Linked DNA regions of Cricetulus griseus. The protein of the gene in region 2 interacts with the protein of the main gene of each other region in a pairwise test. Links are inferred from orthologs where the notes say so. Each region holds a gene or a part of one and is shown on either strand. Other genes may lie near its edges. The genes, in order: Grb7 and Lax1.

Region 1 (9,811 bases), on a different chromosome or scaffold from region 2:
TCCTACCCCCTGTAGAGCATAGAGAGTGGGCTTGAAATCAAATCCAAGTGCTTGGGATCCCTAGATAGAACCTGACTTTGGGCCCGGTGTCCCGCTCCTTCTGCTGGAGTTCCTCCAGGTAAGGCGACCGACATCTGTCTCAAGACAATCTGCTTCTCCCCCCTCCCCCCAGCTTCACCAGGGCTTCAGGTTGTGCCTGCCTCGGGCGGATGTGGCCCTCTGCCCAGGTAGATGGCCTGGAGGCTGCCAGCCTTCGCCGCCCCCCCCCCCGTACGTCCTCGCTCGCTGAGGTCAGGCCACAGGCGGCGTGGGGGGTGGGGGGGGGGGGGTGGTAGTTAAGGCCTGGAGTCTTTCTCCGTAAACCGGTGGCCTCGGGCAGCTGTGCCGTCCAAGGTCTGGGTAAGGAACGAAGCGGGAACTTCATCTTGGGGATGAGATGGATGCCTAAGGAAAGATTCATCCTCCCGATGCTCTCTGGCGTCTTCATTGCATTGTTTTGTTTGTTTGTTGCTCGGCATCTCGAATCCTTCCCCTTGCTCACCTTGCTCCCCCAGACCTCCCGTGTTTTTCATTTTGTGCCCCTCACACTCCCCCCTTCTCTCCCAGTGAATTCGTGAATGGGAGGTAGGGTCTCTCAGTCACCTCCGGAAACCTGGACTTTCCAGCTAAAATAGTTCTTTCTACTCAAGACCAGCTAGTTAGGGTGGCGGGGGTCCCGAGGTGGCTCTTCACTGCCTTGCTGAGCTCAGTTTACTACAATCCCATTGGAGGGGAGTAAAGTTCCCATCTGGAGGGGAGTAAAGTTCCACCATGGCTGGGACTCCGTATCTCCACGTCGTTCGTTGTCCCCCTCGGATGTGGAAGCCCGGCCTCCTGGATGCACCAGCAAATGGACAAAGAAAACCGGAGGTGCGGGCGCTGAGAGAAGGGTCTGCTGTGCAGGGGCAGGAAGAGAGTGCGTGGCGGCTCATGTAAGCCTGTCTTGAGGCTGAAGCTGGGGAAAGACCTAGGTCCGGGTCTGGGTCTTCATGGCAGGATGGGACAGTGTGCACCTGAGGGCCAGATGGTGATCTTTTCAGCCTTTTTTGCCCTTGCCCCCCAGGAATGCGATGCCTTCTGGGTTGTGAGTCTGTGCTAGCTTGGACTCTGCTCTCCCTCGTGTGTGTGTGTGTGTGTGTGTGTGTTGTACACCTCCCCAAAAGTAAAATAATGATTAACTCTGCAGGGAACTCTACTGGAAATTCTAGCATTCTTCCCAAATTAAACATTACAAGAATTGTCCCGCCCCCTCTATTCCATTGGGTGTTTTTTTCCTGAGCGGAGTGGGCGGAGCATCAACTTCGGGTCAACTAAGGGTTTCCTGCCTCCTCATCTGGTCCAGGCACCCCTAAAGGTTAAGCCCCCCACTTTCCTCCCCAAGTCGTGATGGGGGTTGGATTGGTGTACTAGATCAGAAGCGGACTGCCCGGGCCACTGGCTCCCCAACCCTTCCCCCTAAACCTGAGAAGAGTGGATGGTGGCCCTGTTTGCTGTTGGCCCCAAACATTTAGGCCTTGCTACTCGCCTTGGGGTTTGCTAGGTGGGGCAAGATTCAGGAAGTAAACAAGGCGGCTGGAAGGGTAGGAGAGAGGGTGGGGCGGGAGCTGCTGGGGCTGGATAGCCAGAGTTGGAGTGGCCTGGCTGAGAGGACTAGTTGGTTGGGGGCCCAGTTTCTACACGGGAAGATTTGCTTAGGCCTAGTTTGACTGTTTCAGCTCTCTTGGGCAGGGGCTGCGGGGCCCAGAGCAGGCTCCTATGCCCCACCTTATCTTTTAGGTACCGACAGCTGCTAGTCTTCTCCAGATGAAGGGTGGGGTGGAGGGCTCTGGAAGCTAACCCTAGTGCAGCCGGCACCTGGGCCTCTGACATCAGACTGTAATCTGACTTGAATCCACACCCCCCCCCATTTCAAACACCTGTCCAGCCGGGTGTTGTTTTCTCACTTTGAGGGAGGGGCACCCCGGCAGAGGAGGACCCCCATTCCTGAAATGAAAGATCAGGTGTGTGGGAGTGGGTGCCAGGTGTTGATGCCCCTTGCTTGGTGACTTGGGCATGCTAAGTGTCACGAGTGTCTTGCTTGCTCTGCTTGGCTCTCCTGGAGTTATGTTGTCAGTCTGTTTGCCTGTCCTCTTGGGTGTTTTGACTCCACTCCTGCCTGATGGTACCTCTCAGGTCAGGACATCCCAGAGTGTGTTCAGAGACCCTCTTCCACGGAGCAATACACAGGAGTCCCCAAGGCCAGATGCATCAGCATACATCCTAGGATAATTAACAGCGAAGAGAGTTGCAGGTTCCAGACCTAGGCTAGGCAGGACTGGATGCTGCCTGCACATCACCAGGAGGTCGGCTCCAATCCTGATAGGCTCCTGGATCCAGGCCGGGCATTTCCTCCTACCTCCCTGGGTTATAGGCAGGGTGATGGTTTGGGACTAAGGTGGGCAGATGATTAGTCCCACCTGGGCTGGACACTGGCCAAGGGTGGGGAGGATGATGTCAGAGGAGCCTCGGGCTGCTCCTCCCATTTTCATCTTTCCCCAGCCTGCACCCCTTGCTCCCAGGCTACCTGTAGGTTGGGGAGTCAGGGACTGAGGGCAGAGGCAGGTTGTTTGTGTTCCTCCTCAGCCAGGAAGTCCTATAGATGAGTCAAAGTTGAATGGGGAGCCTGGGGCATAGCTGTCCCGCCCCGCCCTGACTCACCTGTCCCCCAGATCCCTTCATGCCCTCACAGAAGGGTCAAGAGTTTGTCCTATCCTGGTGCCAGGAACCTTCCCAGGTGTCCTGGGCAGCCTCACAGTCCTGATGCAGGGTCTGGAGAACAGGCAGGATACTGGGATTGGCATTTTGTCTGGGTTCTGCCAGGTTCAGCACCATGGGGTCTGCTGGTTCCTGCAGAGAAAGGCTGGAACCTGCCCCACCCCCAACCCCTTGCCTGGTCTCGTCTGTCCTTACTTGTCCTAACTTCTCTGCACCCGTGGGTGCTAAGGCATAGGTGAGACTCTAATGTGTGCCAGGTGCTTTCAGACCAGAGATGGGTTAAGACAGGTGCACAGTAGTGGGGGTAGAGTTCCCAGCACCAGGCTGAGTGTGACAAGTCCAAGAGAACTTCTCATCCATAGGAGGTGGCTTTATCATTGTGGCTTTGGGTAAAAATTGGGTGGGATGAGGAGTCTGGGAAGGCCCACCGAGTTTGTGGGTGCTGGGGTAAGAGCCCCCCAGGCCTCCTGTTTCCACCACAACCTGAGCACATGGTCCTGCCCTCCTGATCCTGTCCTTCCTAATCGCCTCTCTCTATCACTCATCTCTCTGCCAGGTGTTACCACAACAGGCCTGGCAAACTGCATCTGGCAACAGGTGCTAGAACAATAAAGTGCTGGAAAAATCTGGGGCAGAGCCCAGTGGCATGAACAGCCTTTGCCCTGACCCTGTGGCTCCAGCTAGGGACATGTGGCATGGAGCCTACCTCTTCTTTCCCCTGAGCTGGTGTTGCTGCAGGGAGAGCACTGGCATTGGAGTCCCAAGCACCAGACTGAATGCCACTGGGCACATGCGTACTTCCTTCTCAGGACCCCAGTGTTCCTTTCTATGAAGTGGGCGTGCCCTGTATCCCCTCTGAGGGCTCCGAGGAAACTGCAGTTTGAAGGGATCAGCGATAGCACATGGCATCAACATTGTCTTCACAGGTACCATGGAACTGGATCTGAGCCCACCTCATCTCAGCAGCTCCCCAGAAGATGCGTGCCCAGCTCCTGGGACCCCTCCTGAGACTCCTCCACCCCCTGATAACCCTCCAGCTGGGGATGTGAAGCGGTCACAGCCTCTGCCCATTCCAAGCAGCAGGTAGGATCGGACAGTGGGGCTGCATGGGTAGGGAGGTCTGGGGACAGGGAGGCGAGCCAGCACTGACTAACACATAGTGGCTTCCATCCCTCAACTCTGACATAGGAAACTTCGAGAAGAGGAGCTTCAGGTGACCTCGCTACCCTCCATCCCCAACCCGTTCCCTGAGCTCTGCAGCCCGCCTTCACAGAAACCCATTCTTGGAGGTTCCTCCAGTGCAAGGGGGTTGCTTTCTCGAGATTCCAGTCGCCTCCATGTGAGTTGTTTTGGGAAAGGGAACAGTGGGGACAGTGCTGCCCCAGCCCCGGGCAGATGTGGTGTCGCCTCTTTGGTGCAGGTCCCTGAACATAAGTCAGAGAGTAGAGTCCCCCGCCCCTGCCTTGCCCCAAGTAACCTGCAGTTCCTGGGGTACAGGTGGTGAAGGTGTACAGTGAGGATGGGACCTGCCGGTCTGTGGAGGTGGCAGCGGGTGCCACAGCTCGACATGTGTGTGAAATGCTGGTACAGCGAGCCCATGCCCTGGGTGATGAGAGCTGGGGCCTGGTGGAATGCCATCCCTATTTAGCACTGGGTGAGTCGGGGTACAAGGAGCTGTGGGGCGATGTCTTGGGCAAGATAGGTGGCTCATCTGTGAGGCTTGGTTAATTTCTACCAACCCCTGCTTTTCACCCTTGATCTCAGAGCGGGGTGTGGAGGACCATGAGTTTGTGGTGGAAGTGCAGGAGGCCTGGCCTGTTGGTGGAGATAGTCGCTTTGTCTTCCGCAAAAACTTTGCCAAGTATGAACTGTTCAAGAGCCCCCCGGTGAGTGGGAACTGGGTGTACACACACACACACACACACACACACACACACACACACACACACTCTAGATCCCTAGCCTGGATTCTTGAGCGTTGATTCCTAACTATTTCTTTCTTCCCTAGCATACACTGTTCCCAGAAAAGATGGTCTCCAGCTGTCTGGATGCACAAACAGGCACATCTCATGAAGACCTCATCCAGGTGAGGTCTGCCTCACCATAGATCCACAATTCTCCCTACCCCCTTACCCCAAGTCATCCAGTGTTTCTACCCTCTGCTGCCATGTGTGATCTGATCTGTGTTTGTTGGTGTCTGCCGCCACCATGGTGACCTTTGCTGGTGAAATGGTGGCAGTCAGTGCTGGTGCAGCACCTCCTGCGGAGGTTTGAGAGGAGGCAAGCCCTTCACCCCTGTTCACATCTGTCCCCAGAACTTCCTGAATGCCGGCAGCTTCCCCGAGATCCAGGGCTTTCTGCAGCTTCGGGGCTCTGGCCGGGGCTCAGGCCGAAAGCTTTGGAAACGGTTCTTCTGCTTTCTGCGCCGGTCCGGCCTCTACTACTCCACCAAGGGCACGTCCAAGGTGAGGTCTTGAGGTCAGCTCTCGCCTGTCATGTACTTCTTCCTCACTAGTGCTTCTTGACCCTTCCATCTTGGGCCCGGGGATCCTCAGCTGCTCTTCCTTCCCCTTGGGCTGGCTGTCTTCAGGCCATGCCAGAATCTATCCATCCCAACCCCTGTTTGGCTCACCTACCCTAGGAATGGCAGTAGAAAACATAGGCGCCTGTGTGTGTGTGTGTGTGTGTGTGTGTGTGTGTGTGTGTGTGAGAGAGAGAGAGAGAGAGAGAGGGAGAGGGAGAGGGAGAGGGAGAGGGAGGAAGGGAGGGAGGGAGGGAGAGAGAGACATTGTTAGCCATCACCATTGGTCTCAGGTCTTCAGGACCTTGTTTTTGAAGACAGGGTCCCTACTAGGACCTAGGACTTGCAGATTAGGTCAGGCTGAGTGGCAACCCCACACGGGGATTAGAAGTGTATAGCATTACATCCAGCTCTTTAAGTGGGTGCTGGGGATTAAACTTGGGTCCTCCTGCTTGCACAGCAAGCCTTTTACCAACTGAGCCCTCTCCTCAGCCTCTATCTGCTGTGTGAACATGGGTATTTCCCTGCCTCTCCCTGGTCCTAAACTCTCTTTACCTGGTGGGGCACTAATGTGGAGATAGGACCTACCTGTACCAAGCCCTACTTTCTCACCATGCCCAGGACCCGAGGCACCTACAGTATGTGGCAGATGTGAATGAGTCTAATGCCTATGTGGTGACCCAGGGCCGCAAGCTCTATGGGGTGCCCACGGACTTCGGCTTCTGTGTCAAGGTGAGGACTCAAGCAAGGCCTGGTGTGTGTGGGGGGGCGGTGAGAGCTGTCCAAATTCTAGTGTCCTGCCTATGGCTTGTGAACCCCGTCTTGAGAAACCCAGCCAATTACCGCTATACCTGCACATCTGGGTAGTCCTTGGGCCCTTCTTTGCCCCGTGGCAACTGGGCACAGAATCAGACAGGGGACAGACCACTTCCTCTCTCCCAGCCCAACAAGCTTCGAAATGGCCACAAGGGCCTCCACATCTTCTGCAGTGAGGATGAGCAGAGCCGGACCTGCTGGCTCACTGCTTTCCGTCTCTTCAAGGTAAGACCCCTGGAACAGCAGGGGGGCTGGCCTTGCCTGAGGGAGGTGACATGGCTCTGCCTTCAGGAAGTCTTCCCAGTAAGAGGTCACCATAGCCGGGCTTCTGAGAATACCAGTCAGGAAGGGCAGGGTCAGCCCTACTCTGGAGAAGTCCTGGCCTGAGGGGTGTCACAGCCCATCTCCTAGGCTCTCTTGACCTCAAACCTCTTTTCTTCCCCTGCCTCAAGTATGGGATGCAGTTATATAAGAACTATCAGCAGACTCAGTCTCGTCACCTGCGCCTGTCCTATTTGGGGTCTTCGCCCTTGGTGAGTATACTCAGGGGTATTAGGAGAGGTGAGGATACAGGCTCAGGGCAGCTATTCTGACCCCTCCCTCCTCCTTCTGTCCTTTTTGCAGAGGAGTGTTTCAGATAATACCCTAGTGGCCATGGACTTCTCTGGCCATGCTGGGCGTGTCATAGAGAACCCCCGGGAAGCTCTGAGTGCCGCCATGGAGGAGGCCCAGGCCTGGAGGGTAAGCCCTGCGTGCATCCGTGTTTGCTGCACTGGCTCCCAGTGGGCTTTCATGGAGTGGGAGGGAGGAAGAGGGGTTGGGGAGAGGGTGAGTGCCAGTGGCACTCTGACTCCCATGCCCCCCACTGCAGAAGAAGACAAACCACCGTCTCAGCCTGCCCACCCCATGCTCCGGCTCGAGTCTCAGCGCAGGTAGGTGACAGTCTAGAGTTCTTAGGGTGGACGATGGTGCTACTCTGAGCCTTCTTGGCTTGGGTCAGGCATGTTTTCCCTGAATGACCAGCATCACTTTTCTCCTGACCCCAGCCATCCACCGCACCCAACCCTGGTTCCACGGACGCATTTCCCGGGAGGAGAGCCAGCGGCTAATTGGACAACAGGGTCTGGTGGATGGGTAAGAGGCTGGGCTGGGTGGGGTAACTGACCTGGGGACCAGCAAGACCCTAGGGCAGGTGCAACCAGGAATCCCTGGTAACGTGGTTTTGTCTCCTCAAAGTGTGTTCCTGGTCCGGGAGAGTCAGCGCAACCCACAGGGCTTTGTTCTGTCCTTGTGTCACCTGCAGAAAGTCAAGCATTACCTCATCCTACCAGTGAGTAACTCCCCTATTTATAACTTGGGTTCTCGTAGCCCGGGGAAACACGACTTGAAGTCCTACTATGCGCCTCCTTTTTCCCTGTACAAGAAACGGGGGTCAATTGCTGGTCCCAAGGGCTGCTCCTCCGCTCGGGACGGCTCCCTGACCTGCCCTCTGGCCACACCACAGAGCGAAGATGAGGGTTGTCTCTACTTCAGCATGGACGACGGCCAGACCCGTTTCACAGACCTGCTGCAGCTGGTGGAATTCCACCAGCTGAACCGAGGCATCCTGCCCTGTGTGCTGCGCCATTGCTGTGCCCGTGTGGCCCTCTGAGGCCACTGGAGCCGTTACAGCCCATGGGGCTGCCCACCACCCTTCTGTTCAGTGAACTTGGTGCAGGTGGATGGCATGATGAACTACTGGAGCTCCCCCCATACTCCATTCCACTTTTCTCCTGTGTCTTTACCTCCCTCAGGCAACAAAACATCCCCCGACCCTGTTCATCCCTGAGTCCTGTCCCCAAGGGAGGCATTTGTGGTCCTCTCCTCAGGAGCTCCTGAGGCACTGTTCCAGCTCGGGGCATTATGCAAGAAGAAAGCGCAGCCCCGGTGGTCTAGTGCCCCACACCCTGTACAGACAAAGAGGCCAGTTGATCTGCTCTGTTTTATACTAGTGACAATAAAGATTATTTTTTGATACACCCATGAGTTCTGTCTGGCAAGAAGAGACAACAAGAGGACCCTCAGAGGTGAAGGTGTTGGTCAACCAGAATATGCCCTGAGCACAAAATTGGTGTTAGTGGCCTGGGAGCTTTCATATCCTAGCAAGGACTCTGGCACAGTCAGTGAGTGCTAGTTAAATGGATGAGTGGACAATGGGTAACAAGGGACTGTGCTTTTTTTTTTCATTCTTTTTTATTTTTATTTTTGTTTTTCAAGACAGGGTTTCTCTGTGTAGCTTTGGAGCCTATTCTGGCACTTGCTCTGTAGACCAGACTGGCCTCAAACTCACAGAGATCCATCTGTCTCTGCCTCCAGGGTGCTAGGATTAAAGGTGTGTGCCACCACCGCCCGGCCTCATTCTCTTTTAAAAAGGACTTTTTAAAAAGTATGTATTAGATCTATGTGAGGAGTTGAGTATGTGTACATGTGAGTGCAATTGCTCAAGGAAGCCAGAAGGGGGAGTTGGATCCCTTGGAGCTGTAGCTACAGGCAGCCAGGAGCTGTCTGCTGTGGATTCTGGGAACCAGACTCAGGTCTTCCGCAAGAGCATTACCTGCCTTTAATGAATGAGCCATCTCTTCAGCCCCAAGGGAGTGGGCTTTTCTGACAGCACTTAGATGTAACAGAGTCTGGGAATCAGAGATGAGCCAGATACGGTAGTATGTGCCTGGAATCTCAGCACTTAGGTAGTAGAGGTAGGAAGAACATTTCTGGGCCAGCCTGGGCTATGTGATACCCCATTTGCCCACTTCCCTTCTCCCCACAAACAAAAACAAGATGAGTCAACAAGAAGTCTTGGACTAGTTGGTGGACAGTGAGCCCTGACAAACAAACACCACAGCGGAGAGAATGGTCTCACTTCCCACAAGCCCCTGTGTCTTCCACCAGCTCTTTCCCCCACATGCCCCTATGTCTTCCACCAGCTCTTTCCCCCACAAGCCCCTGTGTCTTCCACCAGCTCTTTCCCCCCACAAGCCCCTGTGTCTTCCACCAACCCCTCTCTCTTTCCAGGTCCAGGTTTGCTTTCTGTCCTTATCCCTCACCCAGAAAGGGGATAAATCCGCAGCCCCACGCCCATCACCCTCTCAGCCTTCGCTTCCAGAATGAGCTTTTGCAAAGTGCAAACTTGTCCTCTGCTCAGCCAGGCTACATTTTCCCCAAGAGTTTCACGCCATCTAACCCGATAGAAGCTTTATAATAAGTGCATCCACCGACACACTCAGTATATACTAAGTGAGTCCAATGGCAACACCTGCACCTCCTGCTTGAGTTGCTCAGAGACGTCTCCTAAATTGTGAATCCCAAGCAGACATTATTTTGCCAGAAGAAGTCAAACTTGACTCTGGTTCTGTGGACTTAATAACTAGTTTACCAGAAATATGAGGGCCAGAGGAACACATGAATTGACACATGGGGACAGTTAGCAAAACCTGGACTTGGAAACTACAGAAGGGGTGGCTCAGTTTCTACTTCAACAATAACAACAGAAATGACAAGAAAAGCAAAGACGGGGAATGTCTACATTCTAAGAAATTCAGATGTGACAACCAAATGATTCAGATCCAAACTCACTGTAAAAATACGTTCATGAGCAATTGGGGGATGTTTTAACTTTTGTGATATTAGGGAATATGGTTAAGT
Region 2 (9,896 bases):
CCATCCGCCATGATGGGTGGATGAAAGACCCGAGCTAACATGGGATTAGCTCGTTAAACAACAATAAAGCCTCATGCAGTTTGCATCAAGCTTTCGACTCAGCATGGGGATTGGGGTGGCCGAGGTCCTGGGCTGAGATTCTGGAGGCCTGAACTCTCCGAAGGTCTTACACTATATTAGAAACCAAGACTCCTATACACATGCACTCAAAAAACTGATGTTATTGTATTACTTTGCATTATGGTTTTGACATCTTCCAATATTTGTAGGGATCATGAGAAGAAATCCTCTAAAAGGGAGACCTGGCCCACCCTGATTTGGAAAGAGAAGGTCACCTTACTCTGTGACAAAGCCACCTACCTCATACATATTCATAAAAGTTTCTTTAAAATCAACAGTGCACTACTCATTGAGTTGTTTCTTGCCTTGTAGCACTTACTGTTAAAGCAATCTCTCTTTAGTGTTTGCTTTGCTTACCTTTTCTAAATAAACTTTAGTTTAAATTGTATGTCTGTTGCTTGTATTTGTTCCTTCAAGAAGAGCTCCCTTGTAATACAAGGATTTAGAATGGGAGCCGGACAAAGGATGTTGAGGTGAAGGGAATGAAATAGAGCAAGAGCAAGTCATATCTGGGGTCTGGAGAAATTGCTCAGTGGCTGGGAGTGTTGGCTGCTCTTTCAGGGGGTTGGGGTCCAGTTCCCTGCACACACTGGTGTCTCACAACCCTCTGTAACTCCAGTTCTGGGAGATTCAATGCCTCTGGCCTCTGAGCATACAGACCCACATGAGCACGCACACACACAACTATATATAATTAAAAATAACAAAAAAGAAAGGAAAGTCAGCTCTGAATAGCAACTTCATGGAGAGAGGAGCTTTACACATGGGAAAGGGAGCCATTCCTTTGAAGGCTTACCAGGTGCTAGGGGCTTGCATATGAAACTTATCATTTAATCTTCGCAAAGCCATCTGTGCCAAAGGATCCTGAGACCAGAAAGGAAAAGCAACACAGCCAAGATCTCATAGGGCAGAAGGCACAGAGCCAGAAATAAGAGTCTAGGTTGGCTGGGCACTGGTTGTGCAAGCCTTTAATCCCAGCAGAGGCCGAGGCAGAGGCAGGTGGATCTCTGTGAATTCGAGGCCAGACTGGTCTACAGAGCAAGTGCCAGGATAGACTCCAAAGCTACACAGCGAAACCCTGTCTTGGAAAACCAAAAAAGGAAAAAAAAAAAAAAAAAAAAAAAAAGTCTAGGTTGGTTTAAGTCCAGAGATCATTCTTTTTCTACTCTTACACTATCTGCAAACTTCCAAAGCCAAATGCATCTGGCCAGGTTTTTCTGTCATTCCTGCTCCCGGGTTTCCTGGCTTTGCTGGGAGAGGATTACTCAACTCACTATCAGGGAGTGGCTCTGTAACAGAGTCCAGTTTACATGAACTTGAGTAACCCCCAGATGTGGGCTGGTCTCTAAGCAACACTAGCCTGTTGGGTGAAATTTAACCAACACTAGTTTTGAGCAGTCTTTCAATTCTCAGGCAGGGTGCAGCCACGGCTCAGCTCCGGTGTTGAAATGCATCCAAGGATTGCAACATCAGGCATCCACACCCACTCTAGCAGGAAGTAAGCAGTGGAAACCCAGCAGGAACAAGGAGCTGACCCCCACATATTAAATCTGGGCCATATCTGGAAAGATTTTTGTATTGCTGAGTTCTGGGTATATTGACCCAATTTTCTATTGGCCGTTTCTCTTAAGTTGTCCAATAGAGATCTCAAACCAAAACTGGGCTCCCATTCTGCCTCCATATACTGGCTTTTCCTCTAGACTTCCAACCATATAGCACTACAGTCTAAATGCTTGACACCACTCCTGCCTGACTGTTCTTTCATGCCCTATTTCCAGTTAATCAGCTTTGCCCTGGGCAAGGGCATCTGCTTCAAGTCCAGTCACCTCTATTTCTTTCATTGTCACCACAGTGGCATAAGCCAACATGAGTTCCAGGGGGACTTTTGCAGTGGTCACCTCCTTATTGGCTCGCCTGGCTTTCACTCTTGGCTTCAACATACCATGCTCACCTGTGAACTAGTATGATCACTGTAAAGAGTAAGTCATATCATGTCTCTCCTCCACTGAGAATCTTCCATGGCTTTACATCATACTGACAATGAATGTAATACTCAGTGAGATTATTTTTTCTTCATAATGTGATCTGGCATCTCCTGATTAACTTCGGGGCTCATTTCCAACCCCTTCAGCTCTGATGTGGACCACCATAATTTCTTGCTGTTCTGGCCCATATGAAGAATAGTTTTATCTCAGATCTACCTCTCCTTCTCCAGGTACTCAGAATGGCCAAGTTCCTCATTTCATTTAAGTCTCTTTTACAGTGTTGTCATCTCCTTAGAGAGATCTTCCCTGGTCATACTACATTTATTTGGTTATCTGTTTGCCATCAAACACTGCCACTGACTGTAATCTTCAAGAAGCCATGGACTTGTCTATTCACTCAGCATCTTAAACAGCACCTCTGACGTAGAATCTTAATGAATATTTGTCCAATGATATGTGAATGAAATAAATAACGAATGAACGCAGAAATAGTTTTGAGGATAATGCAGTCGCTGTGGGAAATGACTTATGGCAATTATCCCAAAAATTAAAAATAGAGCCACCATATGTTATGCCAACCCCACTGCTAGATCTCTGTTCAAAACAAATAAAAGCCGTGTTGCCTGCACCCTCCTGTTTATTAGAGCTGTTTGTACTGCCATGTTCATTGTAGCAAAATTCACAATAGCCAAATATGGAGTCAAGCTGAGCATCTACCATCAGACGAATGGATAGAGAGTGTGGAGTACATTTACAATGGGTACCACTCAGCTTTAAAAAGGGAAGACGTTCATGTCGTATGTGATAAGGTGGATGGACCTGGAGGACATAGTGTTAAGTGAACAAAGCTAGGAGCAGACAGATGCTGCATAATCTCATTTAGATGCGGAATCTAAAAAGACTGAACTCATAAAGCAGGAGTATGGTGGTCATCAGGGGTGGCTCGAGGGGTCCCTGAGATGTTGGTCAAAGGTTAGATGGAAGGAAGAAGTTCAACATGGTAATGTTGAAAATTACGTATTTTTGAACATTGCTTAAATTGTTATTTGACGTATCCTCTCATAAAAAGTATGTCACTAATACATGTGTTACTTAGCTCAACTTAGCCATCTACAATGTGTACATATTTCAAAACAACATGCTTAAATACAGTATAAAAATACAAATTTTACTTTGTAGTTACAAAGTTAAAAAGAAAAAGGAAATAACAACAAAACAAAAATCGATTTAAAAAAGCAATAGTTTTAAGAGTTAGTGAGCTGACTCAGTGGGTAAAGGTATCCACTGTCAAACCTGCCACTCTGAGTTTGATCCCTGAGGCCCACATGGTGAAAGACCCAATCCCTGCACCCTGACCTCTCCACCCTTCTACTCCCCCACAACAAAAATTTAAAAAAAAAAAAAGAAAAAAAAAGGAAATAGCTTTGGGAGGTTGCTTCAGGCTTCAACAATGATACGAACTCATGTCTTTTTAGCAGGCATCTTTTACCTGCAAGGGACATGCAGGATTTTCTCTGGTAATACTAATAAATTTTCCTAAAACTACAATAATTGAAAAGGTTTCACGCCCACTAGCATTTCTGAAGTCTCACCACCCAATAGACTTTTGTTTATCTGAGATTGAGAACTTCAGGGGTGAATTTACATCCATGATTAGTCTGTAAGATCTGATGTCTTATGACTTTTTTTTTTTCAAGACAAGGTTTTTCTGTAGCTTTGGAACTTGTCCTGGAATTTGCTCTGTAGACCAGGCTGGCCTCGAACTCACACCTACCTCTGCCTCTCAAGTGCTTGCATTAAAGAAGTGTGCCACCACTGCCCAGCAGCTTTATGACTGCTATCTCTACATTTACAACTCATGACAAGGTTTTAGGATCTAAAATCTCATTGCTGGGGAACTAGGGCTCTTGTTTTTATCATAGTGGGACAAGAGATTAGAAAGATTGAAGTCAAGGCCTCTGAGAGGAAGGAAATCCAATCAGAAATTCAGCTGTCAGTCCTCCACCTCCATCTCCTTCCTTCCCTCCCAGCTCACAGTTTGCTGGTCCTGGTGGCCCAGGCCTGGATTGTAGGTGTGGCAGCACTACCAGGGACAGTGGCATTTACTTCCCCAGAGCACTCACCCTTCCAGGCTGCCAAGAGTCCCCTGCGAAGTGCTGGGCCCTGAGTTCCTCCTTCTTGTGACATCTGGTGGGGCTGGTGTGGTGTACATCCCTGGAACCTCTCAGGGGCTCTGCAGCATTTAAGTCTTCTCCGTGTCAATATTGACTAGCCAGTATTGTTGCCCTTTTCTTGACTCTTTCTAAGTTGCTGATTCGTAGGAAAAAAAGGCAAATTGGTATGTATTTTGCATACAACCACCTTTGTTTAAAAAAAAGGGAAAAAAGCAGATAATATAAGAATGACAGAAAATTCTCCAAATCTCCATATTTTCCCAAATGTATCTCTCTTTACTCTTGAAATTTCTTTTTCTTTCAATTTTTTTAAGTCTTTATTTTATATGCATTGGCACTTTGACTATGGGTGACAGATCACCTGGAACTGGAATTACAGTCAGTTGTGAGGTGCCATGTGAGTGCTGGGAATTGAACCTGGATCCTCTGGAAAAGCAGTCAATGATCTTAACCACTGAGCCATCTCTCCAACTGCTACTCTTGAAATTTCTTATTCATTTACTTAGATGGGGATGCATGTATCTCAAACTAACCTGGGGCTTGCTATATAGCTGTTCATGCAGGGTTTCATACCTCTCAGGGTAGCCTAGAACTCTTTATGTAGCCAAGATATATAGCTGAAGACGACTTTGAATTTCTGATCCTGCTGCCTCTGCTTCCTTAGTACTGGGACTTACAGGCATATGCTACACTCTGTATGAGCACTAGGGTTGGGACTCTGGGACTGTGCACACCGTAGGCAAGCAGTCTACTGTCAGAACACCCCCTGCCAGCCATCCTTCCTAGATTGTACTCACCAAAGGTCTCATATACAAAAAAAGGTTTTGGTTTTTTTTTTAATCTTTCTGAAGATTCTAATCTTCTGTTCTAGAACTTTCTCCAACTGACTCCCTTTTTTGGGCTGGTGTGATGGCTCTTCAGGTAGAGGTGGTGCTTACTGCCAGCCTGATGACCCAAATTTGCCCCCATCACCACTTTCATGGTGGAAGGAGAGAATCAGTTCCCATAAATTGTTCTCTGATCTCTCTCTCTCTCTCTCTCTCTCTCTCTCTCTCCCTCTCTCTCAAACACACACACACACACACACACACACACACACACACACACACACACACTATAAATAAATGTACTACTATACTAACAACAACAATAATAATAAAACCCAAACCTCCCTACCTTCACCTGAAATTCCAGGCTGAGTTGGTACAAGGTTCCAAAGCATCGAGTTTGGTACACTGGGGGTGACCACAATGCCCACTGGAGAAAGCCAGCTGTCTCTCATCCAGGTGTTGATGTTCCCAGTGTGAAGTGGCTGGGCTGGCTCTCTGGTTTCTGCCTGTTGGTGGAAACGTGAGGTACACAGGGGAAAAAAAATGCCCAGAGGTCCAGCAGATCTGTGAGAAACTCTTTCTTCCACCCCCCCAGAGCAGAGTGAAAATGCAAACTGCTCTGGCAGAATGGAAAGAGTCACTGACAGGAAGCACCTTCACCAGTGTGCTAATGAGGCACGGGGCACAGGAAATGCTCAGTTCTCCACAGGCAGCAGGAAACCCATCTTCAGCCCTGCTGTTCCCCACGGGCACTCTGGCATCTGGGGCACACGTGGTTAAAGAGGGTTAGGGAATCAGAGACAGGATTGATCGCTCTGGTTTTCAAAGTGTTATAAGCCTCCAGGTCAAAATTCGGGGGTTTAAAATACTTTGTTGTTTAGTTTTACTTATTTATTCTTAGTACACTTATTTAGTGTGTCTGCACACATACCATGGCACATGTGTGGAGGTCAGAGGACACTTGGGGGAGTCCTTCTCGCCTACCACGTGGGGCTCAGGAAATCAAACTCAGGTCTTCAGAGTTACAGGCAAGTGCCTGGATCAAATGAACCATCTTGCTGACTGTTTTTGTTTGGTTTTGAAGCAGATCTCACTTCATAGCCCAAGCTGGCTAAACCCATGGTACCCTCTTGTCTTAATGTCCCTGGTGGTGGGGTTCCAGGTGTAGGCTAGGCTCAGGGTTCAGAATGGTTCTTTTCTTTTTCTTCTCCTTTTTTTTTTTTTTTTTGATACAGGATTTTTCTGTGTAGTCTTGGCTGTCCTGGAACTCAGTAGACCAGATTGGCCTTGAACTCAGAGATTCATCGGACTCTATCTCCTGAGTGCTGGAATTAAAGGTGTGTGCTACTACTACCTGGCTTTTGTTGTTGTTGTTGTCCCTTCCTTTCCTTTCCCTTCCCTTCCGTTCCCTTTCCTTCCCTTCCCCTTCTTCCCCTCGTCTTCCCTTCCTCCATCCTTTCCTCCCATCCATCCATCCTTTCTTCTCTTCTATCTTTCTTTTTCTTTGAGACCATTCCCTGACCATTCTGTATTTCACTTATGTAGACCAGGTTGGCCTCAAACTCACAGAGATCCTCTAGCCTCTGCCTCCTAAGTGCTGGGATTAAAAAAGTGTACCACCATGCCTGGTTCTTAGCAGGTCTAAATAGCACTAGAAGTAGTTGTTTAGAGAGAAGTGCGGATCTGGCACCTGCTTGTGGTTCCGTGGGTGGACAGGCCTTATAAATAGATTCTCAGTAGGTGATAGTACCAGAAGCAGTGTTTCACACTTTGTGTACCTCTGTTCCGGTGTCATGGTGGGAATGGAACTGAGCCTGGGTTGCAGGACCTCTGGAGGCTGTTTCTTTGTTGGGACTCGGGGCTGCTGGCAAGGGGGCATCTGTTGCTGGCTTGCCTCTTCTGTAGTTCAATATCAATCCTGGGTAGCCTCTGATTTCAGGTGCCAGTGGTTCCTCCGTAGCGCTGACCTGAAGGTTCCAATCTTAGGAGAATGCTCTGAGTTTGTTTCTAACTCCCCTTCCTTTTTGCTCCACGTATGTTCAGAAGAGTGAATAGAGCATGCAGAGAGCCTCTCAACTGCACTTTCCAAACCAGTTGGGGCGGCAGGAAGATGAAAGGGATGACCATCAGTGCCTTTGTCACCAGGCCTCTCCCTGACCTCTTTCCAGTGGACATTGGAGTCCTTGGCTTCCAGAGCCCAGACAAGCTCTGCCTGTTCTGGCTCTCCCAGGGCTCTAGGATGCTGCAGACTAGTCCTGTAGTCTTCATGAAACCCCACCATGCCAGGCTCTCACCACCTTCCCTCTGGGGAGCCTGCTTATCTGGAAACAGATGGTTTGGTGGCAGTTGGCTCCAGAGCTGGAACCTAAGTCTCTGCCTACATTTCTTTTAGGTCTGAATGAAAACTAGGATTCCTCACTAGATCCCTTGCATTAGAAGACTGGTGGTCAGGCTGCCCTTGTGAGTCATTGTAAGCTATGGCACATGCTGTGTGAGCTGGGACCTTGACTGGAGCCTCACAGGAAGGCAGGGGGAGCCGACCTCAGAACCCTGAACTAAAAAAGCGTTTCCCTCTGTGTGTAATCATCTCTTTTGTTTACCCAGACTGCTGCAGCCAGACCAGCATTCCCTCCTGGTGTCCCATGCTGCTACCATGCCTGAGGGAAACAACCTCAGAGGGATTCTCTTCTCCGGCTGCTAGCCCCACATCCCTCTACTATCCTGTTCCCTGTCCTTCCACAAGTCTAACCTGGCTAATAAACAAATTAAGATAAGAATACTTTCTCAGAATAGGGGGAGAAAACTACTTGTTTCTGGGAAATGAGGTGGTGCACGCTTTGAGCCGGATTCTTTTAGTGTTCCTTGAAACCCCTCTGTGACATGACCATAAACTGTTGGGACTGGTTTTATTTTTGCTTTTTTTTTTTTTTTTTTTTGGTGGGGTCATGCTAAGTGGCCCAAGTTGGTCTTGAACTACCTCTGCCTCCAAGTGCTGGAATTAAAGGCATTCATGTACCACCACTGCCCGGCTTGAGCAGACTCTTGATGAAGTTGGGGAGTTGAGTGCTATGTCATTAAAGCCTTTAATGCCAGAATCTTTTCTGAAGTCCTCCAGGAAGACACAAGTTCTAATTAAACATCAACTGGGTTCAGATTCTAACCACCCAGAGGGTCCTGGCAGCTCATCTTCTCTTTCTATACTATTTCCTTAGATGTAACTGGCAACAGGAAAAGTTCTTACACAACATTGCTGTGAAAATTAGTTTGACCACTAATGAAAACTGTCTGGCTCAGTACTTGACACACACAGGAGCTCATTAAACAGAGCCTGCTCTGCTATTATAGTGACATTGATCTCGACCTCTTATATTTAATGAATTGCCCCCATTGCCCTCCACGCTCAATGTTACTTTACTCTTTAAACTCGGGTCATTCCTGTAATCTCACTTCTTGGGAGGCTGAAGCAGTAGGATTGAAAGTTTGAGGCCATACTGGGTTCTAATGTAAAAAAAAAAAAAACACAATTCCCCCATCCCATATTTTTGCGGCATCACTCCTTAGGGGACGCACTCTTGGTCCTCCCTTGGCATGGTGGCCGGTCTGGACGGTACTCCCTTTTGGGTGCATGTGTTACACACAGACCCTAGTCAACCTCACTTTGTACAATGGGTGCCCAGGTATCTTCATTTTATCGGCATTTTCTTTTATTTTGTAAAATTCCAGTACAGTACAGTCCTATCTGAAGCTCTGTACTGTTGGTCCTTTCTGGTTTGTAGGCCTTGGGGAAATTGTGACTTTCTTCTCTTAACTCTCACTGCTCAGATTGTCACAACCATCAAATATTGTTTTTAGAAAAAAAAAAAAAGGATAACTATGTTTTTTGTTCTGCTTTGTTTTAAATAAAAGGAAAATATGGCCCAAGAATTACCACCTCTGTGAGCTTTCCCTCTAGGGATCTGGGGCATTCCTCTGTGTCTGCCTCCACAGCTCTGTGCAGGACATGGTCTTGCTCATGTAGTGGGGGCTCCTTCCTGCCTTTGATATGTGTCTGTCTCTCTGAGTGGCCTCTGAGGCCCCTGGGGCAAGAAAGTGGAATTCTGTTTAAGAGCACAGTGTTGCCTCCCAGAGCTAACTGGGTCTCTCACTGGTTTTCTTTAGTGTTTCTTGCTACTGAGTTTGTGATGCACAGTGTGATGGGTGAGATCCTGGGACTGCTCGGTGGCTTTTCATTCTTCCTGCTGGGCACTCTTACCAAGGGATGTCCTCACAGGAAGGAAGCCTAATCTCTTGTGCCTGGTCTTTGCTCTGCAAAGGTGTTAACAGTGGCTCTGATATTTCTGTGTGTGTGTGTGTGTGTGGGGGGGGGTCCAAATTGCTTGTGTGAAAGAATGAAAAACAACCCAAACCAGACTTCCTTTTTTGGAAGTTTTGGGGCTGGGAAGATCTTTGATGACAAGAACAGGTCTATGGAAGCGTCCCTTCCCCCTTCGTTGTTTGATCCCTGAGGCCTTTCCAGTACAGACAGGTCTGAAACAGAACAAAGGCAGCAAACACCTTCCTTTTGAGCTAAAGGTGTGAGAAAACTGGTACAGCTCCCTCCCTTCTCTGCTCCCCGCCTCCACTCCACCCAACACCTCGGAGCAGTTTGCGGAACTTTCAGAAGGCTAGGATGGGGGCGGTCCCTGCACACTCAGGGCCCTGATGGGGGAGGTGATTGGTATTGCGCACAGATAAGAAAGTTCTAAGGACAGACAAGGCCTCTGCCTTCTTGATTCTTCTGGGATTTC

What was found.
Region 1: the proteins of Lax1 (region 2) and Grb7 interact in binary tests that used the Homo sapiens proteins (3 or more experiments, as listed by UniProt). The two-hybrid records come from large-scale screens. The link is inferred for Cricetulus griseus from reciprocal best matches to the Homo sapiens genes LAX1 and GRB7.

The regions. Positions count from the first base shown.
Region 1 is NC_048600.1:111,569,986-111,579,796, forward strand, and holds Grb7 (growth factor receptor-bound protein 7), read left to right. Parts: upstream 1-3,724; coding exon 3,725-3,876; intron 3,877-3,981; coding exon 3,982-4,132; intron 4,133-4,290; coding exon 4,291-4,447; intron 4,448-4,557; coding exon 4,558-4,679; intron 4,680-4,801; coding exon 4,802-4,879; intron 4,880-5,108; coding exon 5,109-5,258; intron 5,259-5,935; coding exon 5,936-6,046; intron 6,047-6,256; coding exon 6,257-6,355; intron 6,356-6,582; coding exon 6,583-6,663; intron 6,664-6,754; coding exon 6,755-6,871; intron 6,872-7,001; coding exon 7,002-7,062; intron 7,063-7,176; coding exon 7,177-7,264; intron 7,265-7,366; coding exon 7,367-7,460; intron 7,461-7,634; coding exon 7,635-7,781; 3' UTR 7,782-7,944; downstream 7,945-9,811. UniProt on the Homo sapiens protein: Adapter protein that interacts with the cytoplasmic domain of numerous receptor kinases and modulates down-stream signaling. Promotes activation of down-stream protein kinases, including STAT3, AKT1, MAPK1 and/or MAPK3. Promotes activation of HRAS.
Region 2 is NC_048598.1:55,498,971-55,508,866, reverse strand, and holds the start of Lax1 (lymphocyte transmembrane adapter 1), read right to left. Parts: upstream 6,004-9,896; 5' UTR 5,456-6,003; intron 4,467-5,455; 5' UTR 4,318-4,466; coding exon 4,229-4,317; intron 1-4,228. UniProt on the Homo sapiens protein: Negatively regulates TCR (T-cell antigen receptor)-mediated signaling in T-cells and BCR (B-cell antigen receptor)-mediated signaling in B-cells.